Linked DNA regions of Coturnix japonica. The protein of the gene in region 2 purifies or fractionates together with the protein of the main gene of each other region. This does not show direct contact. Links are inferred from orthologs where the notes say so. Each region holds a gene or a part of one and is shown on either strand. Other genes may lie near its edges. The genes, in order: FKBP5 and MOS.

Region 1 (7,314 bases), on a different chromosome or scaffold from region 2:
GGTCTTGGGGTCAGCCCTTTCCTCTCTGTTTGCCCCTCCCTTGTCTCTGAGTGGCTCCAGGATGTTGTTATATCCAGGACTGGTGTGGTGGATGCTGAAAGTTGGATTTGCTGTGATTTGGATTTCAGCCTGTAGCGCTGGATTTGCTGAGGTTTTCACTTGGTGTGCAGCTTGCTGGGTGCTTGGGACGCATCTTTTTGTCCAGACGAGGAGGCAGCAGCCCCTCTGGTCTCCTTGTTGTGGTGCTTATTGCTGTTTTGGTGGTTTCCATTGCATCTGCTGCAGCACGGGCCCTTTTCCTTCCCACATGACCGGAGGAAAGCTTCAAACTTCTGGTTGCAGCTGTTGGGGGATGAATTAACTCAAAAGGGGTCTGTGGAGTCAGTGTGATCTTAAGTGCATGGCAGCTCATCCTATCCAGCTCCTCGCTCCCTGTCTGTGAGTGGGACAGAGTGATTCTGGTCATGTTTATGGAGCAAATGTCTTACCAAGGCGGGGACAGCCAAGCTTTTTTTTCTCCTCCTGAGAACAACTCAGCCATAGAAGTAGAGCTAACATGCCATCTGCATAAGGCATCTAGTTTCTTATCCCCATTCCAGAGCTCCTGTTCGTTCAAGAGAGTCCAATTAACTTCCATTAGCGAAGGTGAAATTAGATCTGAACTCATAAAACTCACTGTCTGTTCCTCTCACAGACTTTTTTAAGGAGATGTTGTCTCCTGCTGATCTATCTGCCTGTCACATGGCTAGACACTGCTGGGGGTAGGATTTCAGGCTGCCTTCCCTGTCTCTGAGGTTAACCTGAGAAACAAGCTGAACAGAATGACAACCAATCCCATTCCCTCCTGCCTCTTTAACGCTGTTTTTTATTTCATTCAAAATGGGGTTGAGGGGTGAGCCCATGTGCCTGGGGAGCAGGGCAGAGCCATGCTTTCCCCTTTGCTCAGATGCAGTGACAGCGTGGTTGCTCAGAGCAGGATGGAGATAGGCTGGGGAAAATACTGTGAGCATCTGCTGCTCTGAAAGGACACAGCAACCGGAGCTCTCTGTGGAGCTGTGTTTCTGGGTGCTCTGCACCTTGAAGCTGACTTGTTCCTGTTTCAAGTAGATGCTCGGTTCCAAGCAAACACGGAGAACAGGAGCAGACAAACAGTCAGGGTAATAGAGATGAATGCCCTTGGAGGCAGCGCTGCATAACAGCGCTGCTCAGAGCAGGAGCACTGCGCCAAGGTGGCTGCAGGTTCTTCGCACCAACCTGCAGCCTGGGGCCAGAGACCATAAATACATCCCAATGAGAAAAGATGCAAAGCAGCAGTGAGCCAGCCTGGCAGCCTTGCAGGTTTTGGGTGCAGAGAGGCTTTTTATTTTCCAAATGCACTGCTGTTTACCTTGGAGTGCTTTGCTTGGGGCTTGTTTGCAGGGGAGCCCAGCAGCAGAGATGGGACCCCATGGAGCGGCCTTAGTTTATGGGGGTGCACAGGCACCTCTGTGTCTTTCACTCCACTCCCCAACAAACCCTGCATCAGGGATAGCTCCCAGGTGCCCAAAACCTCTGTTAGAAGCCTGCTGGGGAAACATGTGCACTAGCCAGGGTGAGCACCTCCAGTCTGGAGTTTCATAAGCAGTTCTATAGCTTTGAGTTTTACAGGCCGTAATTTGCAGTTCCGGTTCCTAAAACACGGGCTGCAGTCAAAATCCCACATTCCAGCTTTTGTTACAACCTTTCCCCACCCCCTCCCCCTCCTCTCCATTTTAATCTGAGTACAAATTGCTGTCAGCACATCAAGTTCATGTGCCAGCCGCACTCGGTACACTGTGTTCTGAGCTCTTCAAAAACAAAATCGCTGCAGGCACCGGGAGAACAATAAGTCAGCCACTGCAGCCGAAGGGATGTGCAGAGCCCGGCAGGGGCTTTGCTTTCTGTAATCCAAGAGCAACCGCAGCCAGCTGACCTGCTTCAGATAGCGCTGAAATGCTCCTGGAAACCGGAGCAGAGATTTCCCCATCTCTAGTGTGCAATTAGAATGGAAGGAAAACTCTTCTGCTTCTCTTGAAGCGAGGGCTGGGAGCTCGTGTTCTTCTGGGCATCCTGTTGTTGAGGAGGGCTTGTGGGATCAGCTTGTCCTGCTGCTGACAGGTGACCCAGGGATCCGCAGGGCCAGGGATGGTGGGCGCAGAAAGCACAGAGACAGCAAGGAGCCATGAGGTTGGTGGGCTGCTTGTGCTTTAGGCTGAATGTTCCGTTTTCCCAAGGTGCTCAGCAGGGTTTAGCCCTGGAACAGCAGGTGGGTTTTCCATCATGCAGACCAGCTGCACAAAGCAGAGTACTGTCCTTGGCAGCGCATCAATGAGTGGCCAAACCATCCCTGCTTAGAAAAGGGGTTAATTTTTTTCTCTCGTCTCTCCCTGCTTTAGCAGCATTTATATTGGCAATAAAAACCCTTCTGGCTTCTCAGCAGCATGCACTCAAGAAACTCATATCCATCCATCCATGCTGTTGGGTTCTGCTGCAGCATCCTTAAACACTTTTGGCAGCATTAATGCCTAACCATGATTTTTTTTTCCTACCATTTGAAGGCTCTGGGGGAGTTTTCCTGCAGTAGGTAGGAGCATCTTGTGGGATCACTTTTACTTGGCTTGCTTTGAGTGCAGGGAACACCCACTGTCCCCTGAATGCACACCATCCTCAGGACTGAATAAATAAGGAAAGAACTCAGGGTGGAAATCATCCTAGAAGCACCAGGTGGCAAATTTGCCATGTCTGCTGTCCACCCTGCCGAGCCCCTGCCAGCTCCATGGGCTGGAACAGCATATTGCTTGAAGATGGAAAGACTGAACCTTTGTCTTGTACTTTCAGTTTAGCAGAGGCAGGAGAACATGGCCTTGTTTTTGAGGTGTAAGGCGAGTGTATAGTGCTGTATAGGAGATCTGTAATCACCACGGTGAACTCTGCATGGCAGTGTGCCAGGGGCAGTATCCAGTTCCAGTAAGGCTGACTTGTGCAGTGCAGCACAAGGGGAACATATTAGTCATAATGTTTATCTGTTGTCTGGTCCTTGCTGGGATGAGATACGGCTGCACTGCTTTTTAGCAATGCTGTCCAAGCCCTCCCACCCCTCTCTGCTCACTGTCTCCTCTGGTGCTTCCAGGGCTCTGGCTCAGCTGGGGGGACGTGGGGGGGATTTGGGGGTCTTGTGGTGGATGTGGTCGCTGAATGGAATTGCCCCAGCTCTGCTTCCACTTCCTTAAGTGTCACCTATGTGCAGAATCCTTTGGAAAATGATTTATGGGAGCCACACGGTGCTGACTGCCCGTGGTCTTCACTCTGTCCCACAGTTCACCTGGAGGGGTTCTGTGGTGGAACCCGCTTTGACTGCAAGGATGTGAAGTTTGTGGTGGGCGAAGGGGAGGACCACGACATCCCTATTGGCATTGACAAAGCACTGGAGAAGATGCAGAGGGGAGAGCACTGCATCCTCTACCTGGGGCCACGGTAAGGGATCCTGTGCTCATACTGCTTGGAGCAGGGTTGAAACTTCCAACATTGGAGGCCATTAGAGCATTTGTGAAAATGCAGATGTGCCAACAGAACTTCTGTTGGATATGTTAGTGTCACCAGCAGGGACTGCCAGAGGAGTGAGTGGGAGGCAGGGACTTGAAAGGATCTTTATCCAGCTGTCGGGGCTCAGGAAATCACCATTCCTTGTCCTGGCACATGTTGAAAGCAGTGTAAAGCCAGGTCTGGTGCACCTGTGTGCATCTGGAGATGCACGTGTTGTACTGCATTGTATGCTGCGACATGTCTTTGCTTCTGGAGAATAACAGTGCTCCAACCCAGCAGTATTAGCATGGAGCCAGTTGTGAGAACAGTGAGCAACTTGGGTGAGTGCTTGCTAAAATGAAGATATATAGGGGATTTAGCTTTTCCTGCTTTTTAAAGATGCTGGTTGATGAAGGGGGTTATTTAGGAGGAGAATGGTAGAGTTAGCAGAGGAAGGATGGGGTTTGGAGGAGGCTGTGGGTGCCTCTGACCCCCACCTGAGCTGCTCTCTTCCTCCCTGCAGATACGGCTTCGGCGAGGCAGGGAAACCCAAGTATGGCATTCAGGCAAACGCTGAGCTGGTGTACGAAGTCACACTGAAAAGCTTTGAGAAGGTGAGGGCAGGAAGGGCAGGACCCCCCCACAATCACCCTTTGTCCCTGGTGTTGCTGCTCTGCGGGCCCTGCTGAAGTGGAGACGTCAGCAAGTATCGCCGTGTTCTTAATTTGTTCTTGTGTGTTGGTTTGTTTCATTTTTCTGGCCCAGCTCCAAGGCTGTTTTTTTTATTTGTTCCTAACCTTGTTCCTTTTGTACTTTTTGTTTTGTTTTGTTTTCTATCTCCTTGGACTGCACAGAAAAAAATAATAATTAAGTTTTGTGTCCTGATGAGGGAGGGTTGGGGTTAGTGCTGGAGGGGCTGGGGATGAGAACAGAGAGTGGGGACAGCACAGGTGCTGCTGGGTCCCTAACCTTGGCTGGAGCAGGGATGGTGCCAAAAACCTCTGCCTGCCCTATACTTAGGAGAGATCTTCCCATCTTTGTAATTTTGTTTTTTCAGTTAAAGAAAAAACCTTTTGGGGGTTTGTTTTATGCTGGAATTTTTCATTCTGTGGGGTTGCAGTGGGTGTATGGCAGTGGACAAGCCGTGCTGTATTGCTGGGCTCAGAGTACGTTTCATCCCTGCAGTGGTTTCTCTGTACCACAGGCGTGCGCTTTGCATTGCTCCATGAATGTTTCCTATTCCCTATTTTCTCCAGTCCCTCAAATTCAGCCCTCTGTCCTGCATAAGACCACCCTGCTGAGCCCCACTATTAAAGAGAAATCCTCCAAAGCCTCCTGGGGCTGCCTGGATTGCGGCATCCCATTAATTTTGCTCTTCTTACCACTTCCTAAGTGTGTGTGCATGAAGGTGGGACTGGTGTTTGGAGTTGCAGGATGTGTTGAGTCAGCACTGCTCCCACTGTGCAACCGTTGCTACGCCATGGGATGGTGGCTCTGAGTATTTCTTTGCAGGCCAAAGAGTCTTGGGAGATGGACACCAAAGAGAAGCTGGAGCAGGCTGCCATCGTCAAGGAGAAGGGGACAATGTACTTCAAGGTTTGTGACACCTGAGGCAGGAGCAGGTAGCTGCGCTGCTGGGCACTTGGAGCAAGTTCACCTCACTGGGTCTTCAAGGGGTCAAAATGTCAGAAATTTCCCTTCCCAAAAAGTGCCAGTCCTTTGCCAGTTCCTCTCCCTATGTAACAAATATACTCCATAGGAAGTGCAGCTTTACTGGGGCCATGCAGCCTCATCCACTTCTGCCAGCCCAGCTGCTCACTGTCCTCAGCAGATCCACTGTCTTTCTGAGTCTGAAGTATAATCATAGAACCATGGAATAATTGGGTTGGAAGATACCTTAAAGATCATAAAACTTTAAAATGGTTCAGTCAGAAGGGCCCTCACAGCCCCCCAAGCCCTTCCACCCTGCCAGCTCAGACTGCCCATGGCTCCATCCATGGCATGAGGCACCACCAGGGATGGGGTACCCACAGATCTGGGCAGATGTGCCAGAGCCTCTCTGCCCCCTGGATAAAGAACTCTGCCCTAACACTGAGTGTAAACCTCCCCTCCTTTAGTTTTAAGCCCTTCCCTGTGTCCTGTCTTTGCTCCTTCTCAGGAAGGCAAATACCTGCAGGCGGTGATTCAGTATGGGAAGATCGTGTCCTGGCTGGAGATGGAGTATGGCTTGTCGGAGAAGGAATCGAAAGCCTCCGATTCCTTCCTGCTGGCTGCCTTCCTCAACCTGGCCATGTGCTACTTGAAGCTGCGCGAGTACACCAAAGCTGTTGAGTGCTGTGATAAGGTATGGAAGCATGACTTTTGTTTCAGTCTTCCTTCCCTGTTCAGTTTGTCTTTGCACAAGCAGCGGTTTCCTAAGGGCACTGTGTTGGTCGCATTAAGGACACTTATTTTATAAAAGGCTCAAATCTAGAATTGTTTGGGTGGAAAGGGACCTTTGAAGGCCATCTGGTCCTACTCCCTGCAGTGCACAGTGACACCCACAGCTCCATCAGGTGCTCAGAGCCCTGTCCAGCCTGACTTTGGGTGTCTTCAGAGTGAGGCGTCCACCGAAGTTTAAGAACCTTGCCTCTGGTTCTTTGTTGCGTGAGGCTTGCTGCCTTAACCCAAACTGATGTTATGAATGAGATGAATCTGGGGCTCTCAGGAGGCTTTCACTGTAAGGAAATAACATGAAGCTGGGACAAAAGCCCACTGTATCCATAGCAAATAAGCTTCTGAGGGTTGCTGAGCTATGGAGAACTCTGTGCTTGCAGGCACTGGGGCTGGACCAGGACAACGAGAAGGGCTTGTACCGGCGGGGCGAAGCCCGGCTGCTGATGAACGAGTTTGAGCTGGCAAAATGTGACTTTCAAAAGGTGCTGGAAGTGAATCCACAGAACAAAGCAGCCAGGTCGCAGATCTCCATTTGCCAGAAGAAGACAAAGGAGCACAATGAACGGGACAGGAGGATCTACGCCAACATGTTTGCCAAGTTTGCTGAGAGGGATGCAAAGGTTTGTTGTGCATGCCTGGGGGGTCAGGTTTGGGATGCTCAGCAGGGTGATGGGGCTGAAAAACAGCAAGTGGAGGCTGGGACAAGGATGGAGGTGTGGGTGGCAGCTATAGGTCATGCATAGGTTCATAGAATTTTACTATCGCCAAGGTTGGATAAGACCTACAAGATCATCCAGTCCAACCATCTTCCTTCCACCAATATTTCCCACTAAACCATGTCCCTCAGTACAACATCTAAATGTTTCTTGAACACTTCCAGGGTCAGTGACTCCACCACCTCACTGGGCAGCTGTTTTCAGCACCTGACCACTTTGTTGGAGAGGTGTTTCCTAACATCCAACCTGAATCTCGCCTGGCACAACTTTAGGCCATGAGGGTCTTATATGGGCTGCAGCTATAGGTCTACATGGGCTGTTGCTGTAGTTCATTTATGGGCGGCAGCTGTAGGGATGGATAGACTGCAGCTTTAGGCTGTGTGTGGGCTGACAGAGCAGCATGGGATGGAGCCCCTTGGTTCTTGGTCTGTCGCATGCAGAAGCTGCTGTCAGGTGCTTGGTTGTCGATCACAGTGTTTAGGATGTGGACTCACAACAGCTGATGACAGATTTGGTGTTTGTGCTCCAGGTTCTGTCCCGTCCCGCGGCAGTTGATGAATTGGGTAAAGCGAAATGTCAGCCACTCGCTGGCAGGGCTGGGGGAGTTTGAGACATGATAGTG
Region 2 (8,122 bases):
TCCTTTTTTTTTTTTTTTTTTTAAATATAAAATATATCAAAGAAGCCACAGTCATTATTTTTGAAGAAAAAGTGGAGGGGAAAAAGATGAGAGTAACCTTGAGCTCTTTTAGAGGTTCCCCTTCAGGGCCCTGAGGCTGGGGAGCAGCTGGGCCGCGCTGAGGCGCTCCTCTACGTCAGCCTTCCAGCAGCAGCTGATGATGCTCTGAAGCCTTTGGCCCATTGGTGACTCGTGGAAGATGGCGGCCGACAAAGAAGGGCGCAAGTTGTAGGCTACCACAGCATAGAGCACGTACTGCCGCTCGCCCAGGTAGGGCTGCTCCCGCATGATGATCTGCCAGAGTGTGATGGCAAAGGAGTAGATGTCTGCTTTGGCAGTGACCCTCTCACCCTTGAGGAGCTCAGGCGCACGGTGGGTGTATGTGCCCCCTTGCTGGCAAACATGGTGGCTCTGGGACAAGCCTTCCTCCAGTCTCTGGGAGCAGCCAAAGTCTCCGATCTTGCATACTCCATGCTCAGTGATGAGGATATTGGCAGGCTTCAGGTCGAGGTGCACGATGCCCTGCGAGTGAAGGAAGGCTAAGCCAGTCACAATGTCACACGAGTAGCACACAGCCTCCTCCATGCTCAGAGCCTTCCTCCCACATCCTCCTTCTTCCTCCTCGCCCTGCCTCCACGCATCTTGAGTGCCATAGATGACATGGTGCAGGGTGATGTTGCCAACATATTCCATGATGATGGTGCCCAGGCTGTTCTGGCTGGCAGGGGCACACGTGCTGGCAGCCACCACACGCACCACATTATCATGCTGCAGTCGGGCTACGTTCAGCTCAGCCCAGAAGCTCTGTCGGGATGCCAGACGGTTTTTGCTGCTCTTCTTCACCTGCTTCACAGCCACAGTCACACCATGGTAGGTGGCCTTGTAGACAGCCCCAAAGCCTCCAGATCCCAAGGGCTGCAGAAGGCAGAGTCGGTCCCAGTCAATGGAGCACCAAGCCAAACGTGGGGGCAGGCGGCGTGTCCTGGGTGAGGGGGTCCCTCCTAGGAAGGCTTTTCCATCTTTGCCAGGGATAACTACAGGGCTGCTGCAAGGTCTCAAGTCTGCAGATGGGGAGAGCTCTAAAGGAAGAAAGCTATTAAAAGGAATAGGTGATGGCATAATAAGATGCCAGAAACAGTTAGGAGGACAAGAGACTGGAAGGCTTCCTTGTGGCATTTTCCAAAGGCTCTTTTATTCTCTCTGCACAATTTTCCCCTCCTACCCCCTAATGATCTGCATCTGTCTCAATGAGCTAACCCCATAATCAGGTTCATCTGAGAACATTCTTCTTCCACCCTTATGTAAATCTCCAGAAGGTAAAGGTCTATGGATTTAAAACTAAAACAGATTAGTGTGTGTGTATTTTGCATGATTTTTAATCACAGGAGATAAGAAAGATACTTTGCTCAATGAATATCTCTAGCAAAATGCCCTGGTAGTAAATAAAGTGAGTGCATTTTGCTGGGGTTGTAGGAAAATGATAATTGTCAGATGCATTAGAGAACCTGGGGTCATTCTCAGAGGACACAGCTGAGTAGTAACCACTAACATTTGATAGGCCTATGGCAGGCATAACTAAATGTAAAAGTGAGTTTAAAGGGACCTGCAACTTGTGTTTGACAGGAGGAGGTGTCAACAGAAGAATGAGAATGGGAAACCTGGATTATCACCCAGTGATGTGAAACAGATTGGCTAGGGGAGATTTAGATAAATAGGTGTTAATGTGTGGTAGGAGTTGCTATCAAGGTAGAGGTTGGAGAGAGGTCTCATAGGGGCAGGGTCCTGCTCTGACATCAGCTATGCTGGGACATCTGGGGGCAGTGGAGGACACCAACAAGGAACCTCTCTGCAGTTTTAAATATGCTGCAAAGCAACCAGTACAGACAACAGGTTGCAGCAGTGCTGGGGTTGTATACCTGTGTGGTGGCTCCACTTAAAATCTTCAGAAGAAGTGCATTCTCAGTAGGTGAGCTGTGATGATAACAGAAAGCTGCAATAAGTAAATCCATCTATACTGGAGATGGAAATGACAGCTGCTTCCCTTGAGAAACAACCACTGCAGGACGTCCTTGCCACACCTCCCAGCTACATTCAGCTCCACTGTCCCTGCTCAGAAGCAGGGTGCTGGGCTGGCAGCCCCACTCATCCCAGTGCCTTCCCCAGGAGAGCCCACACTGGGCACCCAGGAAGGCCTTCAGCTCTGCTGTTCCCATGTCGCTGCTATTCCCACAGCAATATAAGGAAAAAGGAAGCTGTGTGAACCAGTGCTTACCGGCAGGGAACTTCAGCATGTCTTGAGCTCTGGCTGCTGCAAGTGTCATTAAGAGCAAGCACGTAATAAGAACTTTTAGAAGTAAAAACAGCAAAGCATGCAGCCTGTGTCCTGAGGGCTGCAGCATGTGGCAGTGCCAATAACTTGTGGCAGGATCCTGATGTTCCAGGCTTCTATGAAACACTTTTACAGTAAAATGTACGTCTGATGCTGCAGTAGCTTCCCAGCCTCAGCTGTGCTTCAAGCTGAGGAGCACAGCATCACCCATGGGCATCTCATCTGTACTCCAGGAACTCCATCTGCCAGTGCTGTTAGCTACTACCACTGTTCATAGACTTGCAAAACAGAGCCTGTCCTGCAAACATCTTCAGGGATGGGGCACCCACCACCTCTCTGGGCAACATATTCCAGTGCCTCACCACCCTTATCGTAACAAACTTTTCACTTATATCCAGTCTAAATCTCTTTTCATTCTGCCTGAAATCATTTCCCTCTGTGCTATCACAACAGTTCCTGCTAAAGTGTCTGTCCCCTTTGTTCTTAAAGCATATGGTTAAATTCTTCTCCACAACCATTAGTTTATTTATTTGTGCATCTGCTCAGTGAAAAACACACCCCTTTTAGGCCTGTGTGTTCAGTGTCTTCTAAGAAGTGCTTTCCAGTATTAAGGTAGCACTGTTTCTATTAAATTCCTGCATTTATCTCCTAAGTACTTATTCTGCTCTGAAAACAACATGGCTCCTTAGCCTGTACCTTTGTGACTTCTGAGTTTTCTTTACCCTTTCTAAATCAAAGCTTTTTTTCCGCTTGCTGTCAGTCTCTGTGATCTCACTTTGGGGTTTGATGACAAACTGACGTTCCTTCTCACTTCTATCCTCATTTCACAGTGCAAGTGTTGCTTCCAGTCACACTTCATAGACCTCTTAACGGTATTCTGAGTTGCATGAAAGCAGTTCTGATAAAATCAATTGTGCAGGCGTAAGCGACATCATCATTTGAAGCCAGTCCATACACACAGCCTGCTCTGAGGATGGGCCACAGACGACTGTTTATTTTAACTGCAAGGACGAGCCAGAAGTGAATAGTTTGTATTTTGGAGTTATGGTTGCTTTGCAAATGACACCTTGTAGTAGCAAATGTAGACAAGTTTTCATTAAAGCGCTGAGAGGTAAACCTTAATGCCAAGAACAAGCGCATCCACGGGAGTTGCAATGCGATCTTACAGCCCTTCTTTAGAAAAGAGCCATAATAATAAACATTTTAAAAGGTTAAATCCTGGTTTATAAATAATAAGATCAAGTTTCAAACACACACTGCCAAACAGTCGCTCCATATTTTTTTATTTTCATCCCCAAAAGGTTACTGTGTTTCAGAGCAGCAAGCAGAGGCTCTCCCTGCTGCAATGCTCTGAGGTGTTACCTGGAGGCAGCTGGAGGAAAGCAGGGGGGGGTCTCATGGCCCATTCACTATGAACACAATTGGACCAGTGATTACAACTTGGAACCTGGTGCTGTGGGTTAATATCACAGTTGCAGAAGAGCACCCTTGAGACGAAATGGTCTAAATTTAGGTGTGAGGATGATAAAGGTGAAACTCTGGACCGCAGAACACTTTCAGGTGACACAGAGATGGGTGCCTCTCCCTGTGGGATTACTGCTGTATAAGGCAGGCACATCATGCAGTGCTTCCAGCCACATTGGCCAAGAGTGTTTTTGCAGTCCTGCCCCTGTAGCGCAGCTAACAAACAGCTTTGCTGGGTTGTGGGGTGATAACAAAGAGCATTGGTGGAATTTGAGAGTTGTAGGTCAGGGAATAGAAAACGGCTTCTGTGCTTAATGAGCAACGTGAATCAGCCACAGCAAAGGGCCAACGGGACAGCATTAGTGCTACGCAACCACTAGGTGATAGATGATTTCCCAGGCACAGCAGATGTAATGCTGATGCTTGGGACTGAACCCTTGCTGTTGCAGGTGATGTGTGGAAGGATCAGTGATCCCAGCATCCCACAAAACCCCTGACCACTGATAACACCCAGCTCCATGATCGTAATGATCGCTAGGCTGCAGCAGGACAGAATTCAGTGAGTTTGGCAAGTTAGTCTATGCTTACTTGTCCTCAGTGTTAGATAACTCCTGCTCCTACGTTACAGTTTAAAGGTTGCTCCTTTATCTTATGTCCCCTTAGTTGTACAGCATCTATACTTTATTTTCACTTTCAGTGTAAGTACTTGCGAGAGAAACTTAAGGATGTACCCATGACCACATGTGCAATCATTTAATAAAAAGGCAATAAGCCAGAGGTGAGCTTAAATTCAAAGGCTCTGCCAACAAGGACTCTTCTACTGAATATCTATCTAATGCTACACAGGGGTAGCTGAAAAACACCTTCCCCACAGGAGGCTGTGCACCCTGTAGATAAGCTGCTGCCTCTCGTAGATAAATCGAGGAATTGGAAGAAACTCTTCCAATGTGTCTGGGAAACCAAGCACTGTGTTAAGTGGGAGATACCTTTACCAATAGCGTGATTCACTTTGGACTTGAAAAATGCTGAAGTTCCATGCTTACATTTTTTGAAGTGAAACAAAATGTATTTCTCAACTTTGGAAAGTTTCCCCATGCATGCACACATGTACACACACACACACACACACCACACACACACTCTTTTGTATATATATATAGTATATATATTTGTATATATATATAGTATATATAATTATATATATATATAGTTAGTGTGCCCCGGTGGCGCAGTGGTTGGAATGCCGCGTTGCGACACCGGAGCCCAGGTTCGAATCCCCTGTGGCGCAAGTGGTAGAAGTGCCGCTCTGCTACACAGAGGCTCGAATCCCGGGGGTTGGACTCGATGATCTCTAAGGTCCCTTCCAACCCGCACGAGACTGTGATACTATGATACGATGATATATATACACAAAAGTTTAGGCAATATACTGATTTCAGATTAATCAGAAATTGTGATTAACAGGAGCTCAGGGGCACAGGTTTAGATTTCTCTGTCAAAAAAAAACCCCAAACATTCTGTATGTTAGGGTACACTTATTAAATGGAAGGAAAGAAGGGAAAGCAAAGGGAGAAAGTATAACAGATCTTTTTCTTCCATTCCTTTCTTCTACACCTTTCAAGCAAATCTGGACAAGAAGCAGTTGAAGACAGGTACCGCCTCTTCCTCCATCTGTAGAGCTGTTGACTCTTACCATGGCCAACTCTCTCAAGTCAGTTAGAAACCTGTGACACAGAAGTGACAAGTCAGTTCAGAGGCGACAGCTGGGAGTCGCAAGAAAGCAAAAGTGTCTGTATGACACAGTTAGTGACTCTGGAAAGATCCTCTCTTTCAGACTGGTGAACAGGAGAAAATCTAAAAATTAAAGAATTGGAAGAGCAGGGCATTAGTAATATACATTTTGAAGAGCAAGGAAATGCAAATTTGAAGCAGCTTAACAGCAAACGCTAATTCTTTTCCTTTCCTGGCAAACAATTCATGCTAGGAAAATGGCTACATGGAAAAAGAGCACTTTCTTCTGCAGCTTTCTGCAACTGTGGGTAGGCTGCTGGTTTCATGGTACTTCTTCACTCAGTGCATTAGTCAGACTTGTTAGCGAGGCTTCCACAGCAGTGTCACAGGCAGACAGGAGGTGTGTGGTATCAAAACAGTGAAGTTTCTCCTGGAAGCGTGTCAAGAGAGGCAACCCACACACTGTGCCTGGAACACATGCCACAGTCTCACAGTTTATCCTACGATCTATGACAACAAAAATAAATCACTTGCATTCATCTGAAGTGATGGAGAGAATCGCTCACCCATTTCTCCCACGAGACCCCCAAACTCACCTTCCAGCTTCTCAAAAGGGCAGCTTGATGGCAAATGCGACTGCTTGCTTCTATTAGAATCTGTCTTGTCACAGACACAGTAGCATCATCCAGTCTGTTCCTTGGTAAAATCATGAAAGGCAGAAACTTCTGCTCATTAGATTTGCTGCAAAACTGACATTTTACCAGTCATCAGTCAGGAACACAGTTACACCTTTGCAAAATCAGAATAACTACACCCAGGAAAACTGGATGTATGTAAAATCACTCCTTGCAATCCCAAGCATGCAGACCGAGATTATCTATTGAAATGCCAGGCATAAGTTATTCATTAACTAAAACCATTCTGTAATTTTATTGATATATTTTGTGGAGTTCACATATTTTTGTACAGCAAACATAACACTGTAGGCCACAAGAAGCTGCAGCACTATTGTTTAATAGCAGCAAGGTATATTTTATAATCAGGGTATGTGGACAATAAATAGTCTGTTTCTTTGGATGTGAATGTTTAAAATGAAGTTCTGCTGCAGCTTCATAATGTGATTGCTATTTTACAGAGCTTATACACAAAAATATATACGCAATCTTTTTGTCTATATTTTATACAAATACAACAGTAGTTTGTGAATACATTTTAAAGTACATATACATGATAAGCAACTCAATTTCCCATATCACAGGATAGCAAATTTTAAATGCAAGAAACATACACAAATTCTGTCTGGAATGCAGGGTTTTCTGTGTTCTTTTTTTTTTTTTTTTTTTTTTTTTCCCTCTGTTTTTGACTCAAAAATTTGATCATTCAAACATTTTAGCATTCGAGTCCAAACGATTTTCCCACTATCTATAAAATAGAATTTCAGCAATCCAAGCCAGGTTTGGGTGTGTCATCATTCCCCAATATACTCTTTCCCAGTTTTTGTCTAAATTCAGAAGCTTTTAGTAATATATAGTATGTTCTTCACTCCACACCATATAAAAAGCCCACGTTTAATTGTAACTAAATCATCTATTTTTTTTATCTTTTTTTTATGTGAATAAGAGCTGGGCTTGTCAGCGTTTAAATTTGCATGTCCAACATTTTAATTCTGCAAGTGCATATGAATACATTGTGGTGTTGTACAAAGTTCATTAATGACAAATTAAGTCACAGTATAAAAATATATCATACAACTATAGGTCTAGTATAGTCCTTTTTTTCTATGGGTAAAAATACATCTGAATGAGACAGGGAGGTTTGTAGCACCATGAGAGGAGTTGTATCCCAAGTTACATTAGCAGCATGATCCAATATAACAATATTGCAGGAGTGTTTCTGAGGAGATAAACATTCACTCTGGTTCAACTGTACCACTGAAGCTTATACTGAAAAGTGTTTACATATGATTAGCAATAGTTCTGTGTCACTTCCAGGGCTAGATAACTGTTATCAAAAGACACTGCCTTCCAACAAAGTAAGACACCCTTATTACATAAAGCTTTGGGACAATCCAAACACATTTTTGAACCACTGTGGCATTGTTTGTATGCTGAGTGTAATGCTAATGCCTATGGTTTTAATTGTACACTGGGAAGATGCAGAATGGGCAGCAAAGTCTATACAGTTTACTACATACCAGGTAAGTACATTTATTTCGGAGGCTTATCTATAGACTGAGAAGAATATAGGATGAGCTGCTAAACCAGTGTATGAGACAGACATAACGAAGGATGCAGCCCTGCTCCCCTTGACATTTACGGATGCAGGATCAGGCCCTTAGTTAACTTCAGACAGCAGCATAGCGTTGAGAGCATATGTTAAAAAAATCTGCATCAAATACTGCGTGTTAAATATTTTTGCAATAGTTACCACCCAGAACTCCAGAGGACACAATTTACAATTGGTGAGTGAGGACAAACTCTTTTTCTTTTTTCTTTTTCTTTTTTCCTTTTTTTTTTTCTTTTTTTCTTTTTTTTTTTTCTTTTTTTTTGGACTGGTATT

What was found.
Region 1: the proteins of MOS (region 2) and FKBP5 purify together in Homo sapiens (affinity purification with mass spectrometry; 3 studies listed by BioGRID and IntAct, counting the BioPlex papers as one, with this or other methods). This does not show direct contact. The link is inferred for Coturnix japonica from reciprocal best matches to the Homo sapiens genes MOS and FKBP5.

What each region holds. Positions count from the first base shown.
Region 1 is NC_029541.1:451,169-458,482, reverse strand, and holds part of FKBP5 (peptidyl-prolyl cis-trans isomerase FKBP5), read left to right. Parts: intron 1-3,335; coding exon 3,336-3,492; intron 3,493-4,063; coding exon 4,064-4,154; intron 4,155-5,052; coding exon 5,053-5,136; intron 5,137-5,698; coding exon 5,699-5,884; intron 5,885-6,356; coding exon 6,357-6,596; intron 6,597-7,314. UniProt on the Homo sapiens protein: Immunophilin protein with PPIase and co-chaperone activities. Component of unligated steroid receptors heterocomplexes through interaction with heat-shock protein 90 (HSP90).
Region 2 is NC_029517.1:100,573,570-100,581,691, forward strand, and holds the start of MOS (proto-oncogene serine/threonine-protein kinase mos), read right to left. Parts: upstream 4,925-8,122; 5' UTR 1,216-4,924; coding exon 109-1,215; 3' UTR 1-108.